Cricetulus griseus: one gene and its partners. The protein of the gene in region 5 interacts with the protein of the main gene of each other region in a pairwise test. Links are inferred from orthologs where the notes say so. Each region holds a gene or a part of one and is shown on either strand. Other genes may lie near its edges. The genes, in order: Cdk6, Crabp2, Eif3k, Vdr, Ccnd3, Rbl2 and Atf5.

Region 1 (4,179 bases), about 35 Mb from region 5:
GAGTAGGTTATGCAAGGGAGCTCGTTTAACAGGGTGCTTCATTGCAAGAACATTGTTTTATTTGCATGTATGATAATCACCCTTACCTGGACCCTCCACGGGTAACAGACAGAAGGAAATTTGGTATTAAATTCTCTTGTTGTTAACAGAGTCACTCCTCTAGGATAGTAATCAAGAGTCAGCATGTGCCCTTCTTGTCCCTCCATTCTCAGAGACCTCCTTTAACACACACACACACACACACACACACACACACACACACTGATCTATTGTTTCGTGTAAATTCTGACTTTCTGGAAGACTCATTCTCACACCTCAACCCTGTACCCTGTTACCTAGCTAAAGCTTAGGTATAATGGGGTCCTAGCTTTACAGTGTCTTTTTTACTTATTTATATATTATGACTCACTGCTGCATTGTGGCCTGAATCTGACTATATTGGGAACAAAGCACTACAAAAACCTCTCAGGATTCCGTAGACTCCGAGTCTGCGGAGGGCTTTGGTATTTCAAAGGTCAGTCTTGGGTCTCTCCATTTTGATGACTAATGTTAAATTGTTTGACTTTCTACAAAAATATTTGGCTGTGCTTATTTACATAATTTCATCCCCAGGGCACACAGTAGGCACATATTTGTTGCACCAAATCCCCACAGGAATGAGAAGACAGGATGAAGACGCCAAGATCATGATTCTCCTATACACAGAGCTGAGTGAGAAGGGTGAAATCATCACCTAATTTGTACAAGGGTCCATGCACGGCCTTTTCACTCTGAGCTATGCATCTGTTTAAAAAAGAAAAGGATGAAAGGCACACTGGGGAAATCCCAGCACCCCTGAGAAAACACCATTATCCTCACCACATACGCAGGCACACACTTTCTTTTAAAGCTAGTTACTTCACAGGAAAGCTGGTTAAGAACGCCTCCCCACCCACTTGCACAACTCTTCCAGGGAAAAGAGGCTTTTAGAGTACCACACACTAGCCTCACATCCAACCCTTGGGAGAGGCAGTCTAAGACCGACCTTACCAGTCCACAGATCCTAAATGATACAATCAGATAATGGCTATAAGAGGCTTTCCCCCATCCCATCCTTCCCTCCAACCCCCTTTCTCTTTAGATAGGGTCTTTTGTAACTCAGGCTGGCCTTGAACTCAGGATCTTCGCGGCTCAGTGTTCCTAGTACCCAGCCGTGGACGGCGTTATTTTTTTTTAATCAATGTTTAACATTAGGCGTCAGCATTGAAACTTAAGAACATCAGAAGTCATCATTCTACATCTTTAAAAAAAAAAGGGGGGGGCACCACCATGGATGTGATTGGCAAACATATTCTTATACATTTCTTCATTTTCTTAAACTTTATTTTTATTAGGTTCCACCCTTACAGTTTCCTTCTAATTACCACAAGCTGGATACCTCTCTCATTCTCAGACTCTCAAAACTTCCCCCGCAGACGGGAAAAGTAGGTAAGGGCTTGAGGGACGTTTCTAGGTTGTCTGGTTTTGTTCCCCAAAGACACCCACCCAATCCCAGTCACGACTCCCACCCCCACCCCCACCCCCTTGGGGCAAGCAAGGGAGCGAAAACATTTCAGAGCTGCTTGGCTGCAGGAAAGCCACTTGCGGGTCTCCTTTTATGCCCTGGCTGTCAAGGTCACCGATTTCTATGGGCAAAACTCCACTGTGACTGTAGCTGGGTCAGCAGCCGCCCCTCGCCCGCTCGCCCGGCACCTTCCCGGCCCCGCTCACCTGACCACGTTGGGGTGCTCGAAGGTCTCCAGGTGCCTCAGCACCGCCACCTCGCGGATGGTGGACAGCGGCATGCCCTCCTCGCCGGTCTGCACTCGCACGCGCTTCAGAGCCACGAAGCGGCCGCCGTTCTTCAGGTCGCGGGCCTTGAACACCTTCCCGTAGGCGCCCTCGCCGATCTCCGCCACGCACTCATACTGCTGGTCGGCGCGGCTCAGGCTGTCCTTCTCCATGCTGGCTGGACGCTGCCGGCGCGGCACGGAGGGTTCGGTCGGGGTGTGCGTTCGCCCGCTCGCCGCCTGCACGCCGCCCGGAGTCGGACTCGCAGCCGCCGCCGCCGGGCTGCACAGAGCGACCTCGGCCAAAGCCGGGCGCAGTCGCCGCGAAACTCCGCCTAGCCGAGTCGCCGCTGGAGAGCGCCGATCCCTCCTCTTCCCCCTGCGCAGCGATTACATAGTCTGCCCACAATCTCTGCACCTAGGAGGAGGAGACGGGAGGACGAGGGAGAAAGTGCGATCAGCCAGCCAGCCAGTCCCGAAGGCTTCCACCGGGTTCCACCGGCTCCCCTCCTCCTCCTCCCCTCCGCTCGCCCCGGCCCTCCACCCGGCTGCCTAAGCTCGCCCCGTCCCTCGCGGAGAAAAGCCAAGTTACTTTTCTTGCCCGGCGGGGCTCTCGTGCAGTCTCTGCGAGGAGAGGTTGCAGGGGCCCCTCGGGGATGAGCGCCGCGCGGGACGGGAGGGAGGGGGCGTGCCGAGCAGCCCAGAGTGTGCCGGGAGCGCGGGGGAGGGGAGGCGCCGGGCGCGTCAATGTCACGGCTCAATATTTCGACCGATACCGTTGTTCTTCTCCTCCGCCCTCCCCGACCGACTCCGGGCGCCTGGACGGACGGGGGACTTGGGGAGGGGGCCGTTGGGGAAGCGGGTGCGTAGGCGCTGCGGGTTCCCGGGGCGTGGGGCCGCAGAATGGGGTTGGGGCTCCCCAGGACCCTGCAAGCCGACGCTAGGAAGGAGTACGCGAGTAGGGGTGGTCAGACATCTGCTCGGAAATTGCTTCCTTTCTTTCTACTTTCAGTTTTTCTGCCGAGACATTGAAAAGGGACTCGCGCGCGCGCACACACACACACACACACACACACACACACACACAAATGGTCTTCGGGGTCTGGCACTCTTAGTGGGAGACAGAACCCTGCCTCCGACTCGGAGGACCTCCCTGGTGCAAACTCCGGGAGGACACACCATCTGGTAGGGGAGGGCTGGGGCTGCCAGGGGTGGGAGAGCGAGGGGCCCTGGGAGGGGAGGAGTGTCGTGTTGTCGCCCCCCCCCCCAGTCCCCGAGATCCCAAGGGTGTTGGGAAGGGAGGTCGGTCACTTTGGCTCGCCGTGTCCGGAAAAGAGTAACTTCGGGACCTCAACTGGTCCCTAAGTTTGCAGCTGACTTGAGCCCGTGCACCAACCGAGTTGCAGCAACCGCCCTTCCGACGGTGGGGGTGGGGGGGTTAGCACGGGACGCCCGCGTGTGAGAGGGGCTGCCCTAGGGTTGCGACTGCAGAACCTCCGCCCGGTGTCCTGAGCGCCCCGAGGTCGCTCGGCTGCCCAGCGGCTGGAGGCCGGGTCCCACGCGCGGTCGGGCGTCCCCTCCCCATCCAGTTGTTAGGGATGACCGAGCGAGCCTTCCCGTCCCACGGCGGCCTCAGCCTGGGCTGGACCTTGGCCCACGCTAGCCGCGCGTCCGGAACCCTCGGCGTGCGTTTACCTGCCCCGCACCCCTCCTCGCTCGCCCTTCTTTCTGCCTGGAATGAAAGAACCCACGGCGCGACCCTCACTGGGTGCGGGCGTAGCTCTGCGCGGGCAGGGCAGGGGCTCTGCGGGGCTCCCTTGAGAGCTTTCCTGAAAAGCTGCGGGATGCACCCCCAGAACTCGCCCGGGGGTCCGCCGCCAGGTCGAGGGCCACACAGGTAGCGGCAGCCGCGGCCTCGGCGCCCGCCCGCCCGCTCTCCCCCTTCGGCCGGCCGCGTCCAGCTCCTTCGGCTCCGGAGGCGGCGGCCGTCCCACCCCCGCAGGCCCGCACCCCCCCCCCTCAGCAGAGCGGAGCGGAGCGGCGGTGCCCAGCCCCATCCCCTCCTCCACTTTTCTGTTGTTGTTGTTGCTTTCCCACGCTGGCTGAATGTGACTTGACCCCATTTCAAAAAAAAGTTTGACATAGTGCTTCAACATTTCCGCATTCCTCCGCGACTACAAAGGCTGCAGCCGCCTCCTTCTGCTTTCTGTCTCTGCTCTCTGTCTTCCCTCAATGAAATCCCTTCATGAGCCTCGGCCCCCAAGCCTCGGCCAAACGCCGCAAGGGTCGCCACCGGTGCAGCGAGGGGAGGCCGCCCGCCCGCCCGCCCGCGGGACCTCGGCTCGCGCGTGTGCGCAAACGCAGATGCGCC
Region 2 (4,036 bases), about 190 Mb from region 5:
CATAGGGGCCATAGGAAGAAAGAGGATACCAGGTCGAGCAGTTTTACCACAGACTACTGCAGAGGTGGGGAGAAATGGGGGGGGGGCTGAGTAACACTCTTGAGTACAGGTTGAAGCGCTCCCCGCCCCGCCCCGCCCCGCGCCCCCAGCGTGGCCTTGCTGCTATAGATACATGAGAGGGTTTTAGGTTCTGACAGTGAAATCCAGCTTCTAACCCAAGAAATGGAGAGACCGGTGGAGAGAACAAGGCAGGAATCAGGCGCCTGCTGCCCACCCCTCCAGTGTGGCCGCTCTCTCTTCTACCGGCTATTGTACCCATCTCCACGTCTCCAGACTCCTGGGGCCCAGAGGCAGGAAAGCCCACTCTCTTACCCGGGTGGCATTCTCCCTCATGTAAGAGAAAAGGGCAGGACAAGCCCTAACTCTTCCCAGGAGCTTTGAGGACCTTACAGTCACCAGGCCTGGGATGGTAGTTGGAAGGAGAATCCTAGAGGGTAGAGCCTGGGAGGAGGTTTCCCCAGGTGGGAGTGGGAGCCCTGGGCCCACTCCCTACGCTTCATCCCCACCACCCCCTCCTCTAGCAACTGGCTAAGATTTCCAGAAACAGAAGTAAGACAAAGGGAAGTAGGACTGGGCGCGGAATTTCTTCCAGATGTGTTAGTGGTTTGGCTGCTCAGGATCAGAGCTTCAAGCACCCCAACTTGAGAGTGACGGTGGGGACAATATGCTGACTGGTTAGGGCTGGGGCTTCAGCCTCCAGCAGTCCTTTTATTCCGGGGGAATAGCAGGAGTGCTTAGGTAAGAGCTGGGAAAAGGAGACACTGAGAGATGAGAGAGCCTGGAGGCACTGGGATGAGGGCTAGCAGAGACAGGGATGGGGGATGCAACCGACGGGGGCAGGGGCTAGGGCCCCAGAGCTGTGTGATGGGAGGAGCTGCAGCCAATAAGAGTTCCATGCCCAACTCCTGGCTTTAATTTCCCACTGGGATCAATAAGGAAAGGAATTTCCCGGTGCCTCTGGCCTTTCAATTATAACCAAATCTACTGCAGTTCTGCCCCAAGTGACCCCATCCCCATGATCACACGCCTGGTGGGGCTCCCTCTCCTGCCAGAAGTTTGGAGACACAATAGGGAAGCAGAGGCAAGCTGAGGGTGGAATGAGGAAGAAACAGGAGCTCAGGAGACTGAAGGAATATTCCCCTGCTTTGTTCCATTGTGTGGCTAGGAGGAAGGTGGTCTCAGCTCAGAGCAGAGGAACAGAGATGGGCTGAGACGGCAGCAAGGAACAAGTGTAGGTAGAGTAGACTGTGTGTGGTGGAGGGTCGCAGTGTGGGACTTGGACACTTCTGCCATCTATATCCCTACCCCTGGGGCTGTGTAGAAGATGAGGAACCACCCAGACTATCATGGGAGAGGCGGAGTATGAAAGTCACAAAATCCCCACACTCAGCCTCAGCCAGGACTAGGGAGATGCTCTAAGGTCAGTCAACACCGGTGGAGGACGTCCCTCAGGCCAGTGTTATTGCCTCTACTGGGAAAGTCAGCTAGGCTGGTCTGGACACTTGTACAGAAGGTAGTGATGGGGCTCTGAGCCAGAAGAAGCTGTGTTTAGTTAGCCTTGTGTCTCCCGAGCCCTTGCATCCTCAGAACTGCACAGAGAGCTTAGAGCCAGCATCCTCCCTTCCATTAGGATCCTCTGTGAAAAAGGGACTCTTGTGCCTTCTCCTATCTCCCTGGCTTAGGGACCCAGCCTTTGTCATTGTAGCAGAATGGAGGGCAGTAGAGCCCCAAAGCTGAAGTACAGGGTCAGGGACCTAGGAAACAACTCACCTCCCAGAAACATTTGGGTGCAGGTGGGAACTCTCTGAGAACTAGGAAAGGGTGGTAGAGGTTCCTGAGAAACCCGAGGTTAAGGGGAGGTTCTACCCAAAAGCAGAGGAAGCAATGACCTGCAGGGTCAGCCTGAGGTCTGGCAAAAGGAGGCAAGCAGGGCCAGCAGGACAGCACAGTTGTCTGAGAGGAAACAATAGGAAGGGCTGGAGCAGAAGGAGGGGCTACCCCAAGCCAGATGAGGGTCTGTGCAGCACCCAGGCGGGGCCTCTGTTGTTCTTGGCTCTGCCATGCTTTTCCCAGCTCCAGCTGCCAACGCTCTCCTCAGGGCTGGGCTGGGTTGGGCTGGCTGAGCCAGGAAGACAGGAGGGTGGGGTAGGGATGCACTGGCTGAGGACGTGTCCAGACTGAGTCTCAGTCCCCTGCATGGAGATGACCTGCAGTTACATTTGTGTTGGCTCTTTGGTCTGATTCCTAGTATTGCATCCATCTGCCATCAGCACTGTCCTGCATTCAGCCCTAGCAGCCAGGAGAGGAGGGATGGGACTGTAACCATGGACAAGTCCTACAAGCGTGGCAGGTGGGTTTTATGGCACCTGGGGAAAGTGGCCTATTCTGAAAAGGTCACACAGCTCTGGACAGCCCAGCCTCCTCCAACTCTTCCACTTTGCCCAAGGCACAGGGGCTGGAGAACCCCAATCCAGTTACTTCCCTGGTGGTGCCTTTCCTGCCCTTTGAGGTAGGAAACAGAAAAAGAGCTGGACCTGGGACCTTCTGATTTCCCATACCTTTGATATTATCTGGTGGCTGGAGGAAGAAGAGACAGAGGCAAGCAGCCCAGATACTGGGCCTCTCCCCCCCGCCTTGTCATCTTGAATCAGAAGAGATAAGCAGGGTTATAAGTCTGGGCATGGAGATGGTTCAGTGGTTAAGAGCACTCATGCTGCTTTTTCAGAGGACCTGGATTTGATTCCTAGCACCCACATCACAATCTTCTCTAAGTCTAGTTCCAGGGGATTTTTTAAAAAAAAAAAAAAAAACTTCATTTTATATGCATTAGTGTGAAGGTATCAGATCCACTGGAACTGGAGTTACAGACAGTTGTGAGCTGCCATGTGGGTGCTGGGAATTGAACCTGGATCCTCTGGAAGAGCAGTCAGTGCTCTTAACCACTGAGCATCTCACCAGCCCCAGTTCCAGTGGACCTGTTGCCCTCTTCTGGCCTTTCAGGGTACCAGACATTTATGCAATGCACTATATATGCAGCCAAGCACATACACATAAATTAAAACAAGTAATAAAGCTTCAGATTAAAAAAGGAATTCAGAGTCTGGTTCCTTAGCCCAGCCAAGGCCTTGTTCTTCTCCTGACTTCCACTCTTATCCTTTCCAATAGCAAAGCCAGAGAGCTGGTTAGTGGGCAGGAGATGGGGAGGAGAGGTGGCCCCATAATGACCTAGATCTAATAGTCTGTTCTGGGCAGCATGAACAAAATGGGGAAAAGATGTATGAAGTGGCAAGTTCTGGTTTTCTTCTGTGGGTACCAGCTTTGGAAAATGCCAGGTGTCAAAGAAAAAACGACACTGCCCCAGAACCACCCCAAACTCTGGTCTGTCAGGGCCCCAGGGTGCCTCACTCCCAGAGGGCACTGACCTGAGGCCTATGAACTTGTTAGCCTAAGAGGGGGTTCCATGGTTAGCACTCTGGACTCTGAACTTGTTAGCCTACCAGAGCATATATGCTGTCCAAATGATGCTCCCCTCCCCCACTTTTTCCTGGCTGCCATTCCCCTTCTAACTTGGGCCAAGACATCTAAGTGGGAACTTTGGAACTTGGGGATTAGCAAGAACATATCTCTGGGTAATTAAAGAGGCCAGTATTTCATGAATTTTGTAGTTGCCAACTACACTCTTACTATCTCATGGTCTTGGTCTCATACCTCCCAAACCCTGGTTTTCCAATGATCTGGGTTGTCAGTGGTGGGTCTTCCTACCACACTGGTAGCTAGTTCAGAGCCATGTCCTAGGGCCCCGGCTCACAGGGACACCTTGCTACCTACTCTGCCAGCTAGCCCGGTATAGGGCAGCCAGTCTGGATTCTTTGGGTGTGGGCTCCAGTTCCCTCCCCAGCAGCCAGATCATGGCATTCCTGCCTTCTTCCTCTTTTGAGTTATAATCTGGAGACTCTCATAAACTATTTACAAGTAA
Region 3 (3,510 bases), on a different chromosome or scaffold from region 5:
GACTGTGAGAGGCTGTCAGAACATGGTCTAAGAATGCAGCTGTGTGAGAAGAATTCTAAGAGCTTATGAGAAAACTCCAAGAAAACAAGACAAGAGTCTTGTGACCTCCATTTCTGTTCTTCCATAATATGGGTTTGTTCTTGGCAGGTACTTTTGTGCCCCTCCCAAGGATAGTATACAGGAGGGGGTTTGCTTCAGCTTACACATTGTTGCTAATTTTTGTTATTCAAAAAAAAAATTTCCCAAGTCAGAGGTAGTGGCACAGGCCTTTAACTCAGGAGGCAGAGGCAGGCGGATCTCTGAGTATACGGACAACCTGGTTTACAGAGCAAGTTCCAGGACACCAGGGCTATGCAGAGAAACCCTGTCTCAAAATAATCCAAAAGAAAAACAAAAAATGTTTCCCAACAGCTTATCCTTGTGATTGTAAAGGGCTTGCACTCCTGTGAACTTTGCGCATTGTGATCTTTTTTGTTTTGTTTTTCAAGACAGGGTTTCTCTGTGGCTTTGGAGGCTGTCCTGGCACTCACGCTTGTAGACTAGGGTGGTCTCGAACGAACAGAGATCGGCCTGCCTCTGCCCCGAGTGCTGGGATTAAAGGCGTGCGCCACCAACGCCCGGCTCATGTGATCTTTCTTAGCCTCAGAGTATAAACTGTCTGATGCTCTGGATAAAGTTGGCTACTACATGAGACTGTAGTCTGCTTTGTTTGCCAGCTCCATTCTCCTAGGTCACACCACTTATAGAACAGTGAGGAGGCCATTTCTTAGCACCCTGCTGCCACTGTCCCCAGCCCCTCAGGAACCCACACCAGAGAGGACTCACATTTTCGGACAGAATCTTCAAAGCCAGTTATGCCTTCCAAGAGGTCCATGTTTTCATCCAGGGCTTGCTGCAAAAGGAATGATGTCCTCAGTGTTAACATTAGCAGTACTGTCGTGGGTATTCACTAGCACGTGCTGATGTTCTGGAGGCTGAGGCAGGAGAATCTCAACTTCCTGGCCCAACTAGGTGACAGTATAACTGTCTCCAAATCTAACAAATAACACAAACCTACTGCTGGCTATGGTGGCAGTGCCTGTAATCCTGGCACTAGGCTAGAAGCAGGAGGATAAGGAATTCAAGGCCACTCTCAGCTACATAGCATGTTTGATCAGCCTTGGTTCAGGAGAACATGCCTGTCTTTAGTTTGTTTTTACTGAGATAGGATTTCTCTATGTGACCCTGGCTGTCCTGGAATTGTCTCTGTAGACCTGGCTGGCACTGAATTAAAAGATCCACCTGCCTCTGCCTCCTCAGTCCTGGGATCAAAGGCGTGCGCCAATGTACATGGCTGGGACATCCAACAACCAAACTACAGCATGTACATCCACAACGAGAGACGTCTAAGAAGTCTAAGTAGCCTTGTTATCAAGGGACTCTATATGATGTGATTCGTAAGTATTGGCGGGTCCCCCACCTCCACCTCCACCTCCCTCAGTGGCCGGGGCCTCCTCATGACCCTAACAACCAGCCACACCCTGTCCACCTCAGGCCCTTTGTGTTGCTGTATCCCTGCAGCTCCTCCTTCACCCTCTTCAGGGTTCAGCCCCCAGCGAAACTCCCTTCAACAGGAGTGGGAGGGGAGAGGCTGCACTTTGTGGAGAGCAGCCACTAAGGTGGCAGGAAACCCAGCCCAGCCCTGGTTCCGCTGAATGACTGAGGGTCAGAGCAGGAAAGAAGCTGGAAGCTAGGGACCTGCAAGGCCCAGGTAACTGGGGGGGGGGGGGGGGGGGGGGGGTATCTGCAGTTGTCGTGAGGGCCAGGCAGAGGGCACCACAAACCCGTCAGCGCTTTCTAAGTCAACATGGGGAGAAAAGGACACTGAGCAGGGTAAGCCACTGCCCCTGACTTGACCGTTTAACAGGAATGTTTGAGACATGAGACTTTGTTTTGAACACACAGTTGTCTGATATTCTATAGCCTTGCCTTGGACAAAGCAGAGCAGGGCCTCAAACGACTTTGAAGCTGTTCTTAGAAGCACAGTAGACATGCACAGGCTCACTGCAGACACTGGCAGGCTGGAGGCCCATGAGAACTGTAGGCTTTTTTTTTTTCTTCTCCCCTACTTTTTTGCTATTGTGTTTTAAATAGTCTTCCTATGCAGCAAAAGTTGACTCCAACTTTTTTTTTCTAAAGATTTATTTCAAAAGATAACATTTTGGGGGCTGGAGAGATGGCTCAGGGGTTAAGAGCATTGACTGTTCTTCTCTGAGTTCAATTCCCAGCAACCACATGGTAGCTCACAACCATCTGTATGTAATGTGATCTGGTGCCCTCTTCTGGCATGCACTGTATACATGATAAATAAATAAATCTTAAAGAAAAAGATAACATTTTACTTTTATGTGTAGGTGAGTGTATCTATGTGAGCATGAGTGCCCACGGTGGCCCGAAGAGACTGCCCAGCAAGGGTGTTGGGAACCAAGTTCTGGTCCTTTGCAACAATACCTACCTTTTTATTTCTAATTTTAAAAACTCACACATCTTATGGGTGTGGGTGTTTTGCCTGCATGTATGTCTGTGTACCAGGTGCATGGCCAGTGACCACAGAGGCCAGACAAACATGCTGGATCCCCTGGAGTCAGAGTTTCAGAGGGCTGTGAGGCAGAGCTCCTAACCGCCAAGTCACCTCTGCAGCCCCTAGCCCGGAACTCTATCCTCAGCCTCCTAAGACCTGGTACCTCAGGCAGGGGCCACCCACCTGCCCAGCTCAGCCTTCCCATGTGAAGGCTGGATAGGCAGGGTGCTCAGAGTGGATAAACAGGGCTTGTTTCCATCTGAAGAGACAGTATAGGAGACAGGGCCAGCCTGAGCAATGCGGGTGCAAAGAATGAATGACCCGGTAGTCCTGGTTCTATGTGAAGATGGGACAGGGGACAGAGGACAGAGCCTGTGACCAAGCAGATACCACTGCTTTTTCGTGTTTGAGACACTGTTCATGGAGCTCAGGCTGGCCTCAAACAACTCTGTGCAGCTGGGATGGCCCTCCCGTTCCCACCTTCTGGAAATACAGGTGTGCACCAATCATGTCTGGTTTCTGAAACACTGTGTGGGGATGGCACCCCGGGATTCCCACATGCCAGGCAAGTACTCCAGCATCCAAAAGACATTACCCAGAAAGCTTGAAAGTGGCAGGTCTCCAGCAGGTCCCCGAGGTACAAGATCTGTCGGATGGGCCGCTCTTCTTGCTGGCAGCAGGAGGTATTAAGGAAACAGTGCGGAAACCTGTGGAGGCTGTGGTGTGGGTCTAGCTCACCCTTCTCCACCCATCTTCTTCCAGCTGCCTTTTTTCCTTTTCTTTTTTTTTTTTAAACCAGAAAAGGAACTGGGAGTGAGGATCAGGGATGCAGGGATGTAGTCCAGTAGTACAACGCTTGCCTACTTGCTACAAGTGTGAGGGTTTGGGTTCCATCCTCAACATCTCAAAAAATACCTACCACTGGGGAGACAGAGGCAGCAGACCTCTGT
Region 4 (4,133 bases), on a different chromosome or scaffold from region 5:
TAATCACTCTGTGTGACCTCTCCTGGGTTTGGATGAGTAGATTTGCAGCTCTCCTGGGTTTGGGTTTATGTCTCTGCATGGCCACACACAAAACCCCCTTTAACTCATGAGCATCCCAGTTTGGACAGTAAATCACACAGTCACTAAGGAATGTTAAGGACAAATCAGAGAGCAGCAGCTACAAGTGAGGTCCTGCTGGTCTAGAGCAGCTGCCCAGCTGGCTTCAGCCCATCAGAGCCTTCGACTGGACAGCAGTGGAGATGGTGCCAGGGCTGCTGCTCCTCATGGAGCTCTCTTTGGAGGCAGAAGCCTGGCCTGCTGAGATCTGCCTGCTGACATCCCTTGGCAGCCTGGCACTATGCTGGGACACACAGGAGGCTCTTAATCAAATCTGGTTGTGTCCTTATTCCCTCTACCTGCATCCCAAACATCACAGCAGTGACAAGCAGAAGCTGGAGCCCTCTAACCCACCATCCAGCTACACATCAGAATGTGACCCAGGTACCCTGGCCTTGCCATTCTGCATAGACAGCAGCAGCCCAGACGCTGATTGTAGCCAATCCCTAGGATGTAGGGTGAAAAACTGTACAACAGAATTCTCCTGTATTGGGTAACTTCTTGGTCTAGCCCACCAGACCCTAGGCCAGTGGTTCTCAACCTGTGGGTCATGACCTCCACAAGAGGTCGGTCACATATCGGATATTCTGACATCAGATATTTAAACTACAATTCATAACAGTATCACAATTACAGTTATGAAGTAGCAACGAAATGATTTTATGGTTGGGGTCATCGTAATACGAGAAACTGTATTAAAAGGTCGCAGCATTAGGAAGGTTGGGAACCACTATCCTAGGCCTTCCTCTATTGAAGGCCTAAGCTTTGGATACCTGCAATCTGTGCTGAAGGCAGAGGTCCAGGGGGTTTTTGAGGGCTTCCAGAGGGCTCTGTCCCTCAAAGAGATCAGTTCATAGGTAGACAGGGGATGGAGCTGAGAAACGTCATTACAAATAAGCACAACATCCTGAAGCACAGGCATAGGATTGTATCTGGGGAAGTGTGAGGGGTCAGCTGGGCTGCCTGATTCTCTTCCTTTCTCTCCTTTCCCAGTCCCTTCTCCGTCTTGGTCAGGAACCAAGTCACGGCTGCTCAGGAATAGCCAAACCTAAAGCCGGAGCACAGAATGTGATTTCCTACCTCTTTACAGTTTGAGGCAATGTAACTGTGTCAGGCTCCCTGGGTTCCTCTCAAACAAGCTAGAAAAGGCTACTGAGTGGGGGCCCAGGTTACCCATTTCTGCTCAAGGGTCTCTAGTATCTAAAACAAAACCAGCAGAGGATTTCACTCTTACTACCTCCTGTTCTGGCTGCATGCCAGTACTGAAAAGTGTTCCACAGAGATCCACACAGTTCTCTCCAGTGTTAATCTGGGAAAGAAATAGCGATGGTTCCCAAATGTAAAATACCCTTAGCTCACAGAGTTGAGGACCTAGGTCCAGACAACCCCCTCTGCCTCTGAGAATCCACTCTTACTCCCTAGCCTGGGAAAAAACCTTGCTTGCCTTTTCTGCTCCCCAAACTCTCTTCCGATTTCTCCTCTATGCCTGCCTTACTAGGCAAGATGGCTCACTAACACAGTAGAAGTGGATCCAGTAGCTGGTAAGCCTATAATATTGGGATGTACCTCCAATCCCAGAGAACAGTCAAAGTCTCTTCTTGGTCACCTGGAATCAGCCCATGGCCATCAAATAACCATTGATGACACTCCCCCACCCCTGATGTCCATGAAGAAGATGGCCTTCCCCAGGACACTGGGGAAGAGCTGAACTCTGTCCAAGGGAACTTCTGCAATGCTCAGAAAATGCCTGCCCAACTGCTTGCCTGGGCTCTGGCCCCTCTGCTGCTCTGAGCCCAGACAGGAGGCTGACTCACTCACCACAAGGAGGAGCAGGAGGAGGAGGGAGAGGAGGAGGAGCAGGAGGAGGAAGAGGAGTGTGGCCTAGGCTCATAGAAGCAAGGCTCCCCCAGAACAGGCAGGCAGCCTCAGGTGGGTGATAGTGGTCGTGACGACAGTGGATCATGCAGTTCCCTTCCAAATACTCCCTCCGAACCTCACTCACCAAACAGAAACTATTTCTTAAATCCCTTCCTCAGTTTCCACACTGGCCCCTGAGTCCCTCTGGACGTCTGTGGACAGGCTTTTCTGATAAAGAAATCCAGTACACTAGGTCTCAAAGCACCGGCGGTTTTCGAAAGTTAACAAAAGAAAACTCCATTTAAAGGATTCTACTCCACCATCACAGGTGATCACACATGGGCCCAACTGGGTAATAAACAGGCTACTCACACTCCACCCCCAGAGACCTTAGCTACATCCACAGCCAATCACTTGCTTTCTTACTCCTCCATTCCACGCTAGAGCGCAGGTCCGAGGAAGGAAACAAACGCTTGTTGTCCGGTGAGAACTGTCCTAGCGAAGGACTCCTGCGCTGAGCCCCCCAAGCATCCCGGAAGGTGGCTGCCCCCTCTTCAACATCTCACGAACTTCAACTTTCTCAGACCTGGGTGCCCTCTCAGAGTTCCAACCTCATGGCACCACAGTCCGGATCTCAATCGCCAACTTTGCTACCGAAACTTGGTCTCTAGTTCTTGCCCCTGGGCACTAAGACCTCTCGACCCCGGACGCCCGCCCCTGAATCTAATCTCTCACCCTGAACCCGGTTCCCGCTGCTCCCTGATCCTCACCTGGTCCGGCGGGTGGACACGCTGCTTGGCGCTCCCGGCGTTTAGGGCTGGCTCGGCAGCTGCCTTTTGACAAGCAGAGACGGCTCAGCACCTGGCCCCGCCCCGCAAGGCCCCGCCCCCGGACCGCCCTGTTCCCTTAGCCACGCCCACCAGGTCCAGTCCTCTCCTGCCCTGAAACCTTCTTGACTTGGAGTCAACCACTGCACTGTCGCCTAGGAGACCCTGCTTTGTGAAAGGATCCACGACCTCCGGTCACAGCGAGGCGCAGGCTTCTGCCCTACTTGGGGCGGTCTTTCATGATTCCGTTCGTGCAGATCCATGTTTCTGCTTGCGGTGATCCGTGATGTATTCGCCACCTCACCCCCGCCCCGCTGCCGTGGTTCTACCCAGTCTGCTGCAGACGCCTTTGCCAGGTGCGTCACTCGCACCTGAGCTGACCCGGGACCCCGACGCCCGCGGCGCGCTGCGAGGAGCCTTTCTCCGTTCGCCGTTGGGAAATCGCCGGCCAGTTTCTGATGCTGGGCGCAAAGCCGGACTTCACCGGTTAGGACAAGCACAGGGGGACCCAAGTGGACTGGAGACTGGAGTTGTGAGCTCTCTCCTATCCGGCGGCTTAACCACAGCGAGGGGGCACGTTCCTGGCTAACTGCGATCTCATTCCAGCTGGCTTTGCCTCAGCTTCCCGGTTCTCTGCACCCCATCCCCCGATCCTCTCTTGCCATGAAGAACTCAGAGGTTCTAGATTTGGCAAATTTTGCAAGGTTACAGATGTCACACACTATGATTTGCTCCCACCATCACACTTCTAGTATGTCCTTCTCATCCTCCCCCAGTTCCTGGACCTCATCTGGCCCTCCAGACTCTGCTCTCTTTCATAGCTCTGTCCATCCCATCGAACCTTTGCCACCATCTCCAGGCAACAATGAGCCACCATAGAGTGTATTAGTCTGTCATATGGTTTGTTACCTTATAATAAGACACTTTGTATTTATACTGAACAAGAATTTTAGCCACCCAAGCTTTATTCCCAGTAAGTCATTTTATAACAGTGACAAAAGCAAGATTTCTTTCTCCTTGTTCTCCTAGAACCTTTTATTGTCTCCTGACTCCACATTTCCCTGGGTAGGTCCTGGAATAGAGAGAGATTGCTTTCTTACACTACCTTTCCCGGAAGCCTTGAGGGCAGGCAGTGGTCTCTGGTAACTATACTTCAGAGTTAACAGCTTTAAACCCCTCTAGACTGGCTGGGTGGAGGTGGCACACACCTTTAATCCCAGCACTCGGGAGGCAGAGGTAGGTGGATTTCTGTGAGTTCCAGGTCAGCCTGGTCTTTGGGGTAAATTCCAGGACAGCCAGAGTTACACAGAGAAACCCTGTCTTGAAAAACCA
Region 5 (3,848 bases):
ATTCTCATGTTGTCTGGATATCGGGGAGGGTGGCCACCTTCCCTCAGTGAGGACCCCACACAGTCTGGTTGCCTCTTGCTTCCTTGGAGGCTGGATGCTGTTGGTTACCAGGGCAAGCCTCTGTGCCTTACTTCTGGCTCTGGCCCAGGCTTTTTCTGTAGGCTCTTCTAAGTACCCTGGGGCTGACACCTAGGTCGTGGGACAGAGAGAGGGACAGCTGTTGCTGGGGTCCTGGAAGAGGTTGGGTGGGGCTGACATTTGTACCTCATTGAGGAGTCAAACCCATGAGTTCCTTCCTGAGATAAAACAATGAAGAAATCCTCATGTGTGCAACTCGGAAATGCAACTCAGGCCAGGACTTGGAAACCCAGACAAATGAGCTGGGGTTGGGGCTCCTAGACTACTACTATGACCTCTTATTGGTTATGTAGGCTTGGGCAGATGCCTCAGGGGCTATCTGGATTCATCCTGTTTGGCTTGGCCTCCGTGTCTTGAGACAGGACCCACCCCTGGTGTCCCACAAAAGGGGTGTGGGTGGGGTTGGGTAATCTCCCCTTTGAGGAACCTCAGGAGTGCCTCATGTTCATTCTGTCTCTTTAAGAGACCAGGCTGAGATGCAGGGCCAGGGAGGGACAGGCTAATGACTGTGGCTCCCCTTCTGAAGTCCTTGCAGTTTAGTCTTTCTGCTTCAACTGATGCTGGCCTCACATTCATGGGAAGACTAAGAGGGATGTCATGCCATTCTAGTACCCAGTAATGATGAATAGATGCTCAAGAAAATGCCCTGAATTCATCATTCCAAGGTGCTAACTCCTGCAGCCAGAAGTAGAACTGTAAATCTTCTGCCATATCCTGACCTGTTTTGCCAGCCACTGACTCCATGCTCATCCCCTTTCTCCAGGAATGGGAGGTGCTGGTCCTGGGGAAGCTCAAGTGGGACCTGGCTGCTGTGATTGCACACGATTTCCTGGCTCTGATTCTGCACCGCCTTTCTCTGCCCAGTGACCGACAGTCCTTGGTCAAAAAGCATGCCCAGACCTTTTTGGCCCTCTGTGCTACAGGTAAGAACCTTGGACACGGGGTTTTCCAGTTTGGGAAAAACCATGATTTGAAGGCTAAATAGTAATCAGGAGATTGTTTCCATACTCAGAACTATTCATATAGGATCTTTTTTTTTTTTTTAAGATTTTATTTATTATGTATACAACATTCTGCTTCCATGTATATCTGCACACCAGAAGAGGGCACCAGGTCTCATAACGGATGGTTTTGAGCCACCATGTGGTTGCTGGGAATTGAACTCAGGACCTCTGGAAGAGCAGTCAGTGCTCTTAACCTCTGAGCCCCTCATATAGGATCTTGGTGATCCTGGGATGGAGGTATGAGGCACTGACTAGCCTGAGGCCCCCACCCTAGGGGTTTGGGTATTCTCTAGTTCCTGACCAGGTCCAGCCTGGGTGGAAGGAAATTTTGCTGTTCTCAGATCTCAGAAGGTTGGGTGGGGTATAGTGGTTCAGTGATTTTGTGCATGCCTCAGTCAGATGCCAGCACCATGGACACACACACCAAACACTCCCATTGTCCCTGAGTCACCCCACCCACCACTGGGGGTTCCCAGTATGCTGCATCCATGCAACCTGGCATGCTGTAACAGGAAACAGAGGTATAAGATGACTCTTCTCATGGCTCCCTTTCTTTTACAAGATTACACCTTTGCAATGTACCCTCCATCCATGATCGCTACAGGCAGCATTGGGGCTGCAGTTCAAGGCCTAGGAGCCAGCTCTATGTCTGCAGATGAGCTTACAGAGTTGCTGGCAGGAATCACAGGCACGGAAGTGGTAAGTCTCAGGCCCCATTCACAAAAAGCAGTGTTATCCCTCAAATCCCCAGAAGAGGGCAGCATCCACCCCCAACTCCAGTTGTACAATTTTGCCTGCTTCTGTGGCCTTTTATCTCCTGCCTCTGGAGAGGATCAGGTGGGATGAAGGACACACATGTAGCTGCCCCTCTCTTGCCAGTGGTATGCTGCACCAAGGGGTGGGAGACTTGGTGTCAGATGCAGGGCTGCTCTCACACCCTTGCCACATCCTCTTGCCAGTTTCTGAGAACTGAGACCCAATTCCTGGGCTGGGTTGTGGCCTAACCTCCCCAGACTTCCCGATGTGCAGGGGGGTGGCCTTTCCCTTGCACCTGCCTGTTGTTACTGACCTTGTTGTTCTTCCTAGGACTGCCTGCGAGCCTGTCAGGAGCAGATCGAAGCTGCCCTCCGGGAGAGCCTCAGGGAAGCTGCCCAGACTGCCCCCAGCCCAGTGCCCAAAGCCCCCCGGGGCTCTAGCAGCCAGGGGCCCAGTCAGACCAGCACTCCCACAGATGTCACAGCCATCCACCTGTAGCTTGGGACAGGCCCCCTCAGGTGGCCACCAAGCAGAGGAGGGGCCACTGCCACCCCTTCCCTTCCTCTAGGAACAATCCATGCTATATCGGAAGCCCGATGGGGGGTCCTCCTTCCCCTCACAAAGCCCAAGGGGCCAGGTCCTGCCTATCCCCACAGTTGTGCACTAAGGTGCTGGTTGGCCATGAGGGCTCTGCATGGCCAGTCAGCTCCTCCTCCTTCCCACCTGACCAGCTCAGCTGTTCTGGGCCATGCTGGTCAGAGAAATCCAAACAGGTAAAGTCCATGCACCAGCATTCCTTGTGAGTCCCTCCTCTCTGGGGCTCTAATTTTCTCAATTGCCAAAACGCCCCAGTTCCTTCCAAAGGTGTTGCCCCTCCTAGGGTCAGTGCATTTGGATTCGGGTCCTTCAAGCATCCTGATAACCGTGCATGAGGTACCAAATAGATGGCTGCTGTGTAATCCATGCTCCCAGCTGCTCTTGGAGGGAACAGCCTAGGCCTTGGTCAGAGGGGCAAGAACCTACCAATTCTTGCTTTGCTTCCTGCTTAGCTTCTGTGATTGAGGGCTCTTTGAGGGGTGCTGATGGTCATTTTAATTTATTGCTTTGAATACAACTGTAAGAGGGTACAGTGAGGCCTGTACCCCACAAGCGGTGGTAACCCTGGTGGTTGCTGTTTCCCTCCCCTCTGCTACCGCTTTGTGGTCCAGGAGCTGCTACAGCCTGGGATGGGGCCGTGCCTTCCTCTCCTGAGGCCCTGTACCTCGTCTTCCAGCAGAGGGTTTGAGTAAGGATGGATGCTGTGGAGGACAGAGCCTATCTGGAGAGGTCCAAGCCCTATTGACACAGGTCTTTCCTTAGGCCACAAGGTTTGGGCTGGTGGCCCATTTCTATCATGCTGCCTTAATAAAGATTCCGGAATAAAACTTGCTTTGGCTCTTGAAGTACCTGGGGCTGTGTGTAGAAGCAGGGAGGCACAAGTCAGCTGTCTCAGGTAGGGAACATTTCTTCTTAAAGGCAATGTGGCCCACTTTACCGATGCACTTCTACAAGTTATGGTTTAAGGAGTGATCACCATGCCCCAGAGGGCTCATGGGAAAACAGGTCTGGACAGTTTTATGTAAAACAAGAATTTTGCTGTACTCTGGCATGGTGGCCTATTCCTGTAATCTTTGGTGGCACTCACAGGGCAGAGGAAGTTGTTTTAGTCTACCCTGTGCTACATGGCAAAATCTTGCTTCAAAACCCACACGGGGACCGCACTAGTGGCCCAGTAGCTGAGAGTATGGGCTACTCCTGAGAGCTATGATTTGACCACAACCATCAGTAACTCTAGTCTCAGGATCTGATGCCATGCAGGCACAATGCTCATGTACATTAAAAAACAAGAGATGGATGGGGTAGGAATGTGTCTGGAAATACTTTCTCTGGTTCCCATCTGCAGTACTGCAG
Region 6 (3,540 bases), on a different chromosome or scaffold from region 5:
ACACCAACAAGAGTGAACCCTGGAAGCTGTGTCTTAACTTTCCCTGTGTTACAAGAAGACATAAAGACTGGGACAGAGCTGTGGATCCAACCATGTAGATTCATAAAGAGACAAGTTAGGAAGTACAGAGAAACAGAAGTGAAGGGATCAGACCCTCACTCAGTCCCTGCTTTAGCAGCCATGACAGGCTACAGAAAAAAACACCTAGGCCTCTGACACAAGGAAACTCCAGATCCTCTGGCCTCCAGGAGCCTAGAGCCAAAACTAGACACAAAGAAACTCCAACTGCCCCCCTCCCAAGCCTCCTAGAATCCTGGTTCCTAGGAACTGTTTGGCCACAAACAAAACAAAACAAAAAAAAAACTCCAGGGGAGACCAAAACCTCCCCTGTAGTTTCCAGGATATAGTTCTAAAAACTATTGGTATCTATGTACAACAGGCCACCTGCAAGTAACAAGACAAAGCCATAGAAACCACAGAATGTTCCCTCTCAGCACTGACCAATGAGAATAATTGGTACACAGGTATTTCATGCCAAAATACGACTTTTGAGAAATTCTCCTGATTGTTCCCATATATCACCCAATCAGAAACCAACCCATACCTACTGATGTAACTTTTGTCTTTAAAACCTAGCAGTAGACAGGGAACTTCACTCCCTCTGGAGGCTGCTGCATTGGCTAGCCAGACAGGGTCCCTGTCATGGTTGGATGAACAATAAAACCTTGCTTTTACAGTTCAGTGGGTCTGTCTCCCTGGTGGTCTCTAGGTGTCTTCACAACTTGGGCACAACAAGAAGTAAATGACAAATTATAATTCACAGACTTGGGAAGGAAAAACTACAAAAATGGTACTGAAAAGACTAGTTTATCAGATCTGAAACCAGGTCTGTATGACTGAAAGTAGTTAAACAATTATTGCTGTTCTTTGAGAAATGAGCAAGGGCTGGAGATGCCTCAGCACTTTAGAGCACTGCTTTTGCAGAGGACGTGGAGTTGGTTTTCAGCAGCCACATGGTGGCTCACAACCATCCGTAACCCCACTTACAGAGGATCTAACACCTTCCACCTCTGTAGGCACAAGCACAAACCTGGTGTGTGGACATACATGCAGGTGAAACACTCATAAACTTAAAATAAATCTAAAAACAATTTTAAGTGAGAAAATTTCATAAAGCATTTAATTAGTGAGTTAGTTTGGTTTTCTGTTGTCTGTTATTGTTTTGAGTCAGGGTCTCTTGTAGCTAAAGTAGACTGGCCTTAAAGTTAAGACCCTCCTACCTCAGCCTTCCAAGTGCTGAGTACAGAGGAGTGTCACCACACTCTGTATCATCTGTGTTTATTGATACGGCACTGACTTGGAATAAACTTGACTTTAAAACTGATCCTTTGATAGCTAGTGGTTACCAAGTACATTATAAAACTGGCTTAGTAATGACAATGTTCTGATGGATGCAGAGCTCTCTGGAACTATACAACTGTTCTTTGAAAACAGTTGTGGAGCTGGAGGTGTACTCCATCTATTGCAGGATGTGTGCTTTGCATTTGGGAGGCCCTGTCTTGAATTTCCAGCACCAGGGGAGAGAAATAGAAAGAAAATCAAAGAAGACAGACTCCCATACATAAATATAAACCTTGCACCTAGGCAGTCATCTCAGGAGCCAGCAAAAACTTAAGCCTGTATTTTCTGTACTTCTTGGGCCAGTATGGATATCACATTACCCTAAGTAGCATAGCTCCAGTCACAAAGCTGAACATGGTCCAACCATGAAGCCATCCTGTCTCACTGACTTATCTGTATCTAACCAGATCTCATAGCTCTATCTTTAAGAATAGTCAGGTGTGGTGGTACACACCTATATTCCCATCTATGACAGAGGTTGAGTCAGAAGGACCAGACCAAGGATTGAAAATCAGCCTGGCCAATATAGTGAGACTCCTATCTCTAATAAACATTGCAAAACAAAACCATAAAAAGGAAGATATAGTTGAAAGAATGAAAAATTCACTGAGAATTCTATAGTTAACAATGTAAGTATTATTAACAGTTTGATTTTCCCATTTTTTTTTGTGTGTTTACAGATAAAAATTCACTTACAAATGAAGACCAAATCAAATGTAAAGTGTTCTAAAAAGATACCCGTAAGCATGGCATGGTGACACACTCCTGTAGTCCTTGTAGCAGGGATGTGGAGACAAGAGAATCTAGAATTCAAGGTCAGCCTGGGTTATACAACCAAACCATCTCTCAAAAATGTTTTTATGTTCTTAATATTCCTTAAAAGCATATTTAAGTCAAGAGTGGTGATACACACCTGGAATCCAGCATTTGGAAAGTGGACAGTCAGGAGTACAGGGTCATCATAGCAAGTTACATAGCAAGTTCAAGGCCAACCTAGACTACACAAGACCCTGTCCCAATCTTCTTGCCCAGGAAAAAAAGCATTTTTAAGTGATTAATACATCACTAAAAGACATAGAATAGTCTTTGCTCTGCATGGCCTATTCACTTTACTTACAGGTTTAGATGAAATCTAAGTATCTAGATTGAAGACGCAAACACTCCTCTTCCTATTTTAGACTTACCTCCTCCAAGCCCTCCAGCATCACTGCGGACTTCACTCACCCTTCTCGGGGTTAGGGGAGAGCCAGCAATACAAATTTCATCTGTTCTTTCTAGGTTTTGAGGTGGCATTACCTACAAAGAGTTATTTCCACAAAATCTTAATAGTAGAAAAGCATTTCACTAGAAATACAGTAATAGTCTAAGGCAAAAGGAAACGACTTTTGTCTGATTAGTTATTTCTTAATAAAATTACTAACACTAAAATCTTCAGTCTTAAGAGATTCAAACTTGATACCGGATACTACATGTGAACCAATGTTCCTTACTGATTTGGAGGGTCAGGATAGCAGCCTTAATTTTTACTGTCATGGAAATCTTGAGGGCAGTTACAGGTTCCTCAAAGAACCTGATTCTGTTTCCTCTTTGATACAAGAATAAACCATTAACCACACTGCAAACCCATGCCTGCCAAGGGCAGACCCCAGCTCTAACCACTCTCTGTAGCATGAGGACCATAAACAATATTGATATGCTTCCCTTACAGATAGGTGTTAAGATATTGTCACAAACCTCTTCACATGTAGGAACTCTGTTTTCATTATCTCTAATTCTGTCCCACAGTGGGGACTCTGTTTTCCATGCCAAATGATCTAAAATTTGTTCTTCAATCTGGTTGAGGTGTTTCACCACTTCTCTGCAAAGACCATCTTCTGCTCTAATAAATACTTCTATTACCTGAAAAAAGAAAATGCCCTGGTTAACTGAGTAACAATTACTATGATTTTGCATGCAAAAGTTTTATGAGTATAAAAGCAAAATGAGCCGGGCGGTCGCGGCACATGCCTTTAATCCCAGCATTTGGGAAGAAGAGGCAGGTGGATCTCTGTGAGTTCAAGGCCAGTCTGGTCTACAAGAGCTAGTTCCAGGACAGCTAGTTCTAGGGCTACATAGAGGAAACCGTTCTCAAAAAAAAAA
Region 7 (4,333 bases), on a different chromosome or scaffold from region 5:
ACTAACAAATGAGTGAACCATAGAATCTATCAGCCAACCAACCAACCTACTACCCAATGAATCAGGCAACCAACAAACCAGTCAGTCATGTAACAAACCATCCAACCAATCAACCAACCAACCAATTCATTAATCAATGAAAAAGTCAGACAATCAATCAGCCAACCATACTTCACCAATCAATCAACAAACTGATCCACTAACAATGAATGAGGCAACTAACCAATCAGCCAACCATACAGTTCAGTAGCCAACCAAGTAACCCACTGAAGTGAGCAATGAACCAGAGTTCACCAGTCAACCAACCAATCAGCCAATCAAACAGTTCACCAGACTTGTTAATAAACTAATCAACTCACTAACCAATCAGTGAACAAGCCAATCAATGAGTCAAGTCAGTCAACCAACCAATTAATTTACCAACTAAGCAATGGAATAATAGGCTAACCACTTAGTGAAGCAGTCAACCAACTAATGATCCACTCAAGTCAGCTACTACTTCTGAAACCATTGTCTTATCTGTAGGGCTGGTTGACTATACCCCTATACCTATGTTTTCTCTCGTTTACTCATTTATTTATTTGAGACAAGGTCTCATGTAGTCTAGGTTGGCCCTGAACATAGCTGAGGGCAGTCTTAACTTTAGATGGTTCTTCCTCTCCCCCAGGGTGCTAAGATCACACACACACACACACACACACACACACACACACACTCTCTCACTCTCTCTGGATCTCTCTTTCTTGCTCTCTGTCTCTCACATTCCATCTTTATTCATTCTTGTTTTCTGTTTTTGAGAAGCCTAGATTGGCCTGAAACTCATGGGCTCAAGAGGATGAGAAGCCTCTTGAAAGGGGGAACTATAGGTATGTGCCACCAGGGCCAGCTACTTATTATTGCTGCAATTGCTGTTATAGTTAAGAGAGAATGATGTCTGCCCTAGAGTCTCTTAGATGGAAGCACCTCAGGCCTTATCATGGCTCCTTTCTTCTCATCCCCTAGCCCCCAGTTCATATGTCTGTCTACTTGGAGGTTATGTGACTTCTCAACTAGGTCTTTCATCACTTTCAGTTCAACAGCTGTTCCCTAATGTTCCATGAGCTTAGGGACCCTTTGCTCTGAACCCTGAACACCCAGAACAGAGCTGAGGCCCTCAGTACTCATCTTGGGAATGAATACATTCTTCCTTTTCTTGCCCTCCCTCCCTGCCTCAAGCTCAACCCACCTCTGCTCTCTACCTGTTCTTACCTGCCAGGGGCTCTCCCCCCCCTGGAAGCCCGCCCTCCAGGGCTCCCCCAAGGACCTCATAGGGGCCCAGGGGGGCAGGGGCCAGGGGGAGTTTCCCATAGTCTACGAGCCAGCCCAGCCCGCTAGCTGGGAGCAGGGCCCTGTCCAGTTCCAGCCCCAGGGTCGCCAGGAGTGACATGGCTGAGACACAGGCGCAGGGCACGGATGGAGGCTGCACCAATAGTGGGGAGGCAGCTTGGGAGATTGTTCAGCTGGGTGACAACAGGCAGCAAGACAAAGATGGAGGACCTGTGAAGGAGACAAAAGGGGGTGGGGTTGGGTTGGGTTAAAAGCTGCTTGACCTACAGGCCCCTCACACTTCACTTCTCTCCCCAAATTCCAGAGCTCCACACATTCCCAAGAGAATTCTTGAACTCACAAGCCCCATTTCCTCCCTCAACACAGAAACCTATTGTTTCCCTAGGGGAATCACCTCCAGCCCCTCTTCATAAAAATCTGAATCCCAAGGGAATTGTCTTCTAGCCATGCCCCTTCCACATCAATATTCCCTTTAGTTTACACCCTTTAGAGTCCACCGACCCACAGGGATTCCCAGAGGGATTCTGCCATGCCTGGGCCCTTCATCAGTGTCACACACTCAAATCCCACTCTTCCCTTAAATTTTTAGGTGACGGGGAGGGAGAGGGAACTGGGATTGACATGTAAAATAATCTTGTTTCTAATTTAAATCAAAAAAATAGAAAAAAATTTAGGCGACTTCCACAGACTCTACAAGAAGCCCCGCCCACTTGCCTGTCTACCTCGGTTCCCGCCCTCAACTAGCAAGTCCCAGAGGCCCCGCCCCTGCGGTGCTAGCTCCACCTCCTTAAAGACGTTCCTAAACCTTGTCTTCCCTGTCAATCTAAGCATTCCCCGCCCCAGCAGGTGCCTGATTGGAGGGAAGCGGGGCCTGAGTCAGCGCCTCAAGGAATCGGCCTGACTTAAACCCCACCCTTCCTTTCTGCGTCAAAGCGCATGCTCGCACCCTGAAAGCGGGCCATTGTAACGCCGCTAGAGCTGCCCTTCGTAGTTCCGGCCTCGGGTAGGTTAGTGCGCGTGCGCCACGGGGTGTGGGTCGCATCCTGGGAGAAGGGAGGGAGGGAGGGAGGGAGAGGCACTGGGAAGCAGCGTGCGGGAGCGAAGGCGAGCGAGCCGTCTTTAAACCACCACCCCCAACCCTCCGGAAGCATACCCTCCTCCACGGCTCGAGCCCAGCGCGCATGCCCAGCGGACCCACCGGCCACCATTGTCCCTCTCTGCGCCTGCGCGGCCGCGGTTCCTGGCTCCCCGTCTCCCCACCCCCACGCGGCTGGTCCGTGAAGCCCCGCGAGCTCTGGGAAAGGGCGGGAAAGGCGGTTGGAGAGGGAGGGGCGAGCGGTTACTCACTCCATGGCTGCGGAAAGGAGAGGCGGCGACGGCGGCCTCGGCTGAACAGACGGCGGGAGCGGAGAGTGCAGGCGCGGTGAGCGCGGAAGCCGGGCCGGGGGCACCACAGGATCACGGCTACAGAGCCATGGCGGGGGCTGGGCGGGCGGAGGCGGCGTGGCGGGAGCGTTAGGAGAAATGGTTCTGAGAAGGTGGAGAATGAGGCGGCCCCGGGGCCTGGGGACAAATATACCGGGGGCGGCGCAGCGCGGGCCTCCCGGATCCCTCCGCGCCCCGCCCCGCCCCCGCGTGGTCCCGACGGGGCGGAGGCGACCCTGGGCCCGCCATGTCGCCCGGACCCTCAGCACTCGCTCTCCTGATTCGCTAGCTCACGAATGCTTCACGAATGCGCCACCGGTCCCAACCGACGTCGCCTCCTGTGAGCCCTCGTGGGTCGGCCCATCGTGGGATGGCGATTTCAAGCTAGCTTAGCGATTTTAAGCGAATTAAAGCAGCAGCAGCAGCAGGAAAATGCCCCCCAAATGTGTATAAACGCACAAATAGAGTAGCTATGGGAGGTAGGCCACGAAGTCCTAATCACAGGGCTCCTAGTTAACACTTTTTAAACCTTTATTGTGTGTGTGTGTGTGGCGGTTAGAGGACAACTTTGAGAAGTTTTGTTTTGTTTTGTTTTGTTTTACCACCATGTGGATCCCAGAGTTGGAACTCGGGTTGTCATGTTTGACAGACTTTACCCACCGAATCGTTTCACCTATTTGAATCTCTCCACCCGGGCCCTTAACCATCCAGCATGTCCGTGTGATCACACTGTGTGGCCTACCTTCCAAGGTTTTTGTTTGTGGGCATCTTCATTTTCCTCATTCTACAGGCTGGTGCTCTGCCCCTGCGACGACCTCTTAGCTCTCTTACCAGGTGGTTCATTGTTTTGCCCCTTTCCCTGACTTCCTTTCAGTCCTTGGTCTCTTGCTGACCTCACTAGATAATTTTCTCCTGGCCTTGTCTGAAATTGGATGTTTATATTCCATTTAGTCAAAGAAGCCCCATGGTCCTTCCCTAGGCTGATGCATGAATCTCATTTCCCACCCGTGGCCATCCATGTCTGGACATTCCGTCTGGAAGTCAGCCTGCCTGATACAGCTGAGAGACTAAATCAAGACCCAAATTAAGAGTTGGAGATGGAACTCGGTAGAATGCCTGCCTATTTCACTCAAGAACCTTGAGTTCTGCCCCAGCACCACATAAACTGGGGTTGGTGCATACCTATAATGCCAGTATTTGGGAGGTGGAAGCAGAAGGGATCATGAATTCAAGGTTATCCTGGCTGGCCTCGATGTGTTTTTAAGAAAAGATTCAAAAGCCAGGCCAGCAGGAGTATTGGAAGTCAAGGTCAGGGCCTGAGTGCTGAGTGGTGGTCTCTAGACTTGACAGTCTGAGTTATCCCAGGAGAAGCAACGCCAGAAAGTTGTTGGCTGACTTCCACCACACTTGAGTGGTGACATGTCTGTGTTACTGAAAAGGAGTGTATTTTTTTGTTGTTGTTGTTTTGTTTCTGGAGACAGGGATTCTCTGTGGATTTGGAGGCTGTCCTGGAACTAGCTCTTGTAGCCCAGGCTGGTCTCGAATTCACAGAGATCTGCCTGCCTCTGCCTCCTGAGTGCTG

Evidence for each region.
Region 1: the proteins of Ccnd3 (region 5) and Cdk6 interact in binary tests that used the Homo sapiens proteins (3 or more experiments, as listed by UniProt). The link is inferred for Cricetulus griseus from reciprocal best matches to the Homo sapiens genes CCND3 and CDK6.
Region 2: the proteins of Ccnd3 (region 5) and Crabp2 interact in binary tests that used the Homo sapiens proteins (3 or more experiments, as listed by UniProt). The link is inferred for Cricetulus griseus from reciprocal best matches to the Homo sapiens genes CCND3 and CRABP2.
Region 3: the proteins of Ccnd3 (region 5) and Eif3k interact in a two-hybrid assay, tested with the Homo sapiens proteins (2 studies listed by BioGRID and IntAct). The link is inferred for Cricetulus griseus from reciprocal best matches to the Homo sapiens genes CCND3 and EIF3K.
Region 4: the proteins of Ccnd3 (region 5) and Vdr interact in a two-hybrid assay, tested with the Homo sapiens proteins (2 studies listed by BioGRID and IntAct). The link is inferred for Cricetulus griseus from reciprocal best matches to the Homo sapiens genes CCND3 and VDR.
Region 6: the proteins of Ccnd3 (region 5) and Rbl2 interact in a two-hybrid assay, tested with the Homo sapiens proteins (2 studies listed by BioGRID). The link is inferred for Cricetulus griseus from reciprocal best matches to the Homo sapiens genes CCND3 and RBL2.
Region 7: the proteins of Ccnd3 (region 5) and Atf5 interact in a two-hybrid assay, tested with the Homo sapiens proteins (2 studies listed by BioGRID and IntAct). The link is inferred for Cricetulus griseus from reciprocal best matches to the Homo sapiens genes CCND3 and ATF5.

Annotation. Positions count from the first base shown.
Region 1 is NW_023276806.1:221,710,874-221,715,052, reverse strand, and holds the start of Cdk6 (cyclin-dependent kinase 6), read right to left. Parts: upstream 2,826-4,179; 5' UTR 2,401-2,825; intron 2,227-2,400; 5' UTR 1,983-2,226; coding exon 1,750-1,982; intron 1,665-1,749; exon of another isoform or gene 1,354-1,664; intron 1-1,353. UniProt on the Homo sapiens protein: Serine/threonine-protein kinase involved in the control of the cell cycle and differentiation; promotes G1/S transition. Phosphorylates pRB/RB1 and NPM1.
Region 2 is NW_023276806.1:66,518,732-66,522,767, forward strand, and holds the start of Crabp2 (cellular retinoic acid-binding protein 2), read right to left. Parts: upstream 2,832-4,036; 5' UTR 1-2,831. UniProt on the Homo sapiens protein: Transports retinoic acid to the nucleus. Regulates the access of retinoic acid to the nuclear retinoic acid receptors.
Region 3 is NC_048602.1:6,873,596-6,877,105, reverse strand, and holds part of Eif3k (eukaryotic translation initiation factor 3 subunit K), read right to left. Parts: intron 3,231-3,510; coding exon 3,156-3,230; intron 893-3,155; coding exon 826-892; intron 1-825. UniProt on the Homo sapiens protein: Component of the eukaryotic translation initiation factor 3 (eIF-3) complex, which is required for several steps in the initiation of protein synthesis.
Region 4 is NC_048595.1:394,401,398-394,405,530, forward strand, and holds the start of Vdr (vitamin D3 receptor), read right to left. Parts: upstream 2,826-4,133; 5' UTR 2,745-2,825; intron 1-2,744.
Region 5 is NW_023276806.1:256,945,213-256,949,060, forward strand, and holds the end of Ccnd3 (G1/S-specific cyclin-D3), read left to right. Parts: intron 1-901; coding exon 902-1,061; intron 1,062-1,704; coding exon 1,705-1,841; intron 1,842-2,228; coding exon 2,229-2,396; 3' UTR 2,397-3,326; downstream 3,327-3,848. UniProt on the Homo sapiens protein: Regulatory component of the cyclin D3-CDK4 (DC) complex that phosphorylates and inhibits members of the retinoblastoma (RB) protein family including RB1 and regulates the cell-cycle during G(1)/S transition.
Region 6 is NC_048596.1:166,771,807-166,775,346, reverse strand, and holds part of Rbl2 (retinoblastoma-like protein 2), read right to left. Parts: intron 3,301-3,540; coding exon 3,136-3,300; intron 2,698-3,135; coding exon 2,586-2,697; intron 1-2,585. UniProt on the Homo sapiens protein: Key regulator of entry into cell division. Directly involved in heterochromatin formation by maintaining overall chromatin structure and, in particular, that of constitutive heterochromatin by stabilizing histone methylation.
Region 7 is NC_048599.1:153,651,717-153,656,049, forward strand, and holds the start of Atf5 (cyclic AMP-dependent transcription factor ATF-5), read right to left. Parts: upstream 2,812-4,333; 5' UTR 2,750-2,811; coding exon of another isoform or gene 2,508-2,749; exon of another isoform or gene 2,393-2,507; intron 2,330-2,392; exon of another isoform or gene 2,273-2,329; intron 1,537-2,272; 5' UTR 1,427-1,536; coding exon 1,249-1,426; intron 1-1,248. Other genes in the region: Il4i1 (L-amino-acid oxidase), read left to right, coding at 2,508-2,749.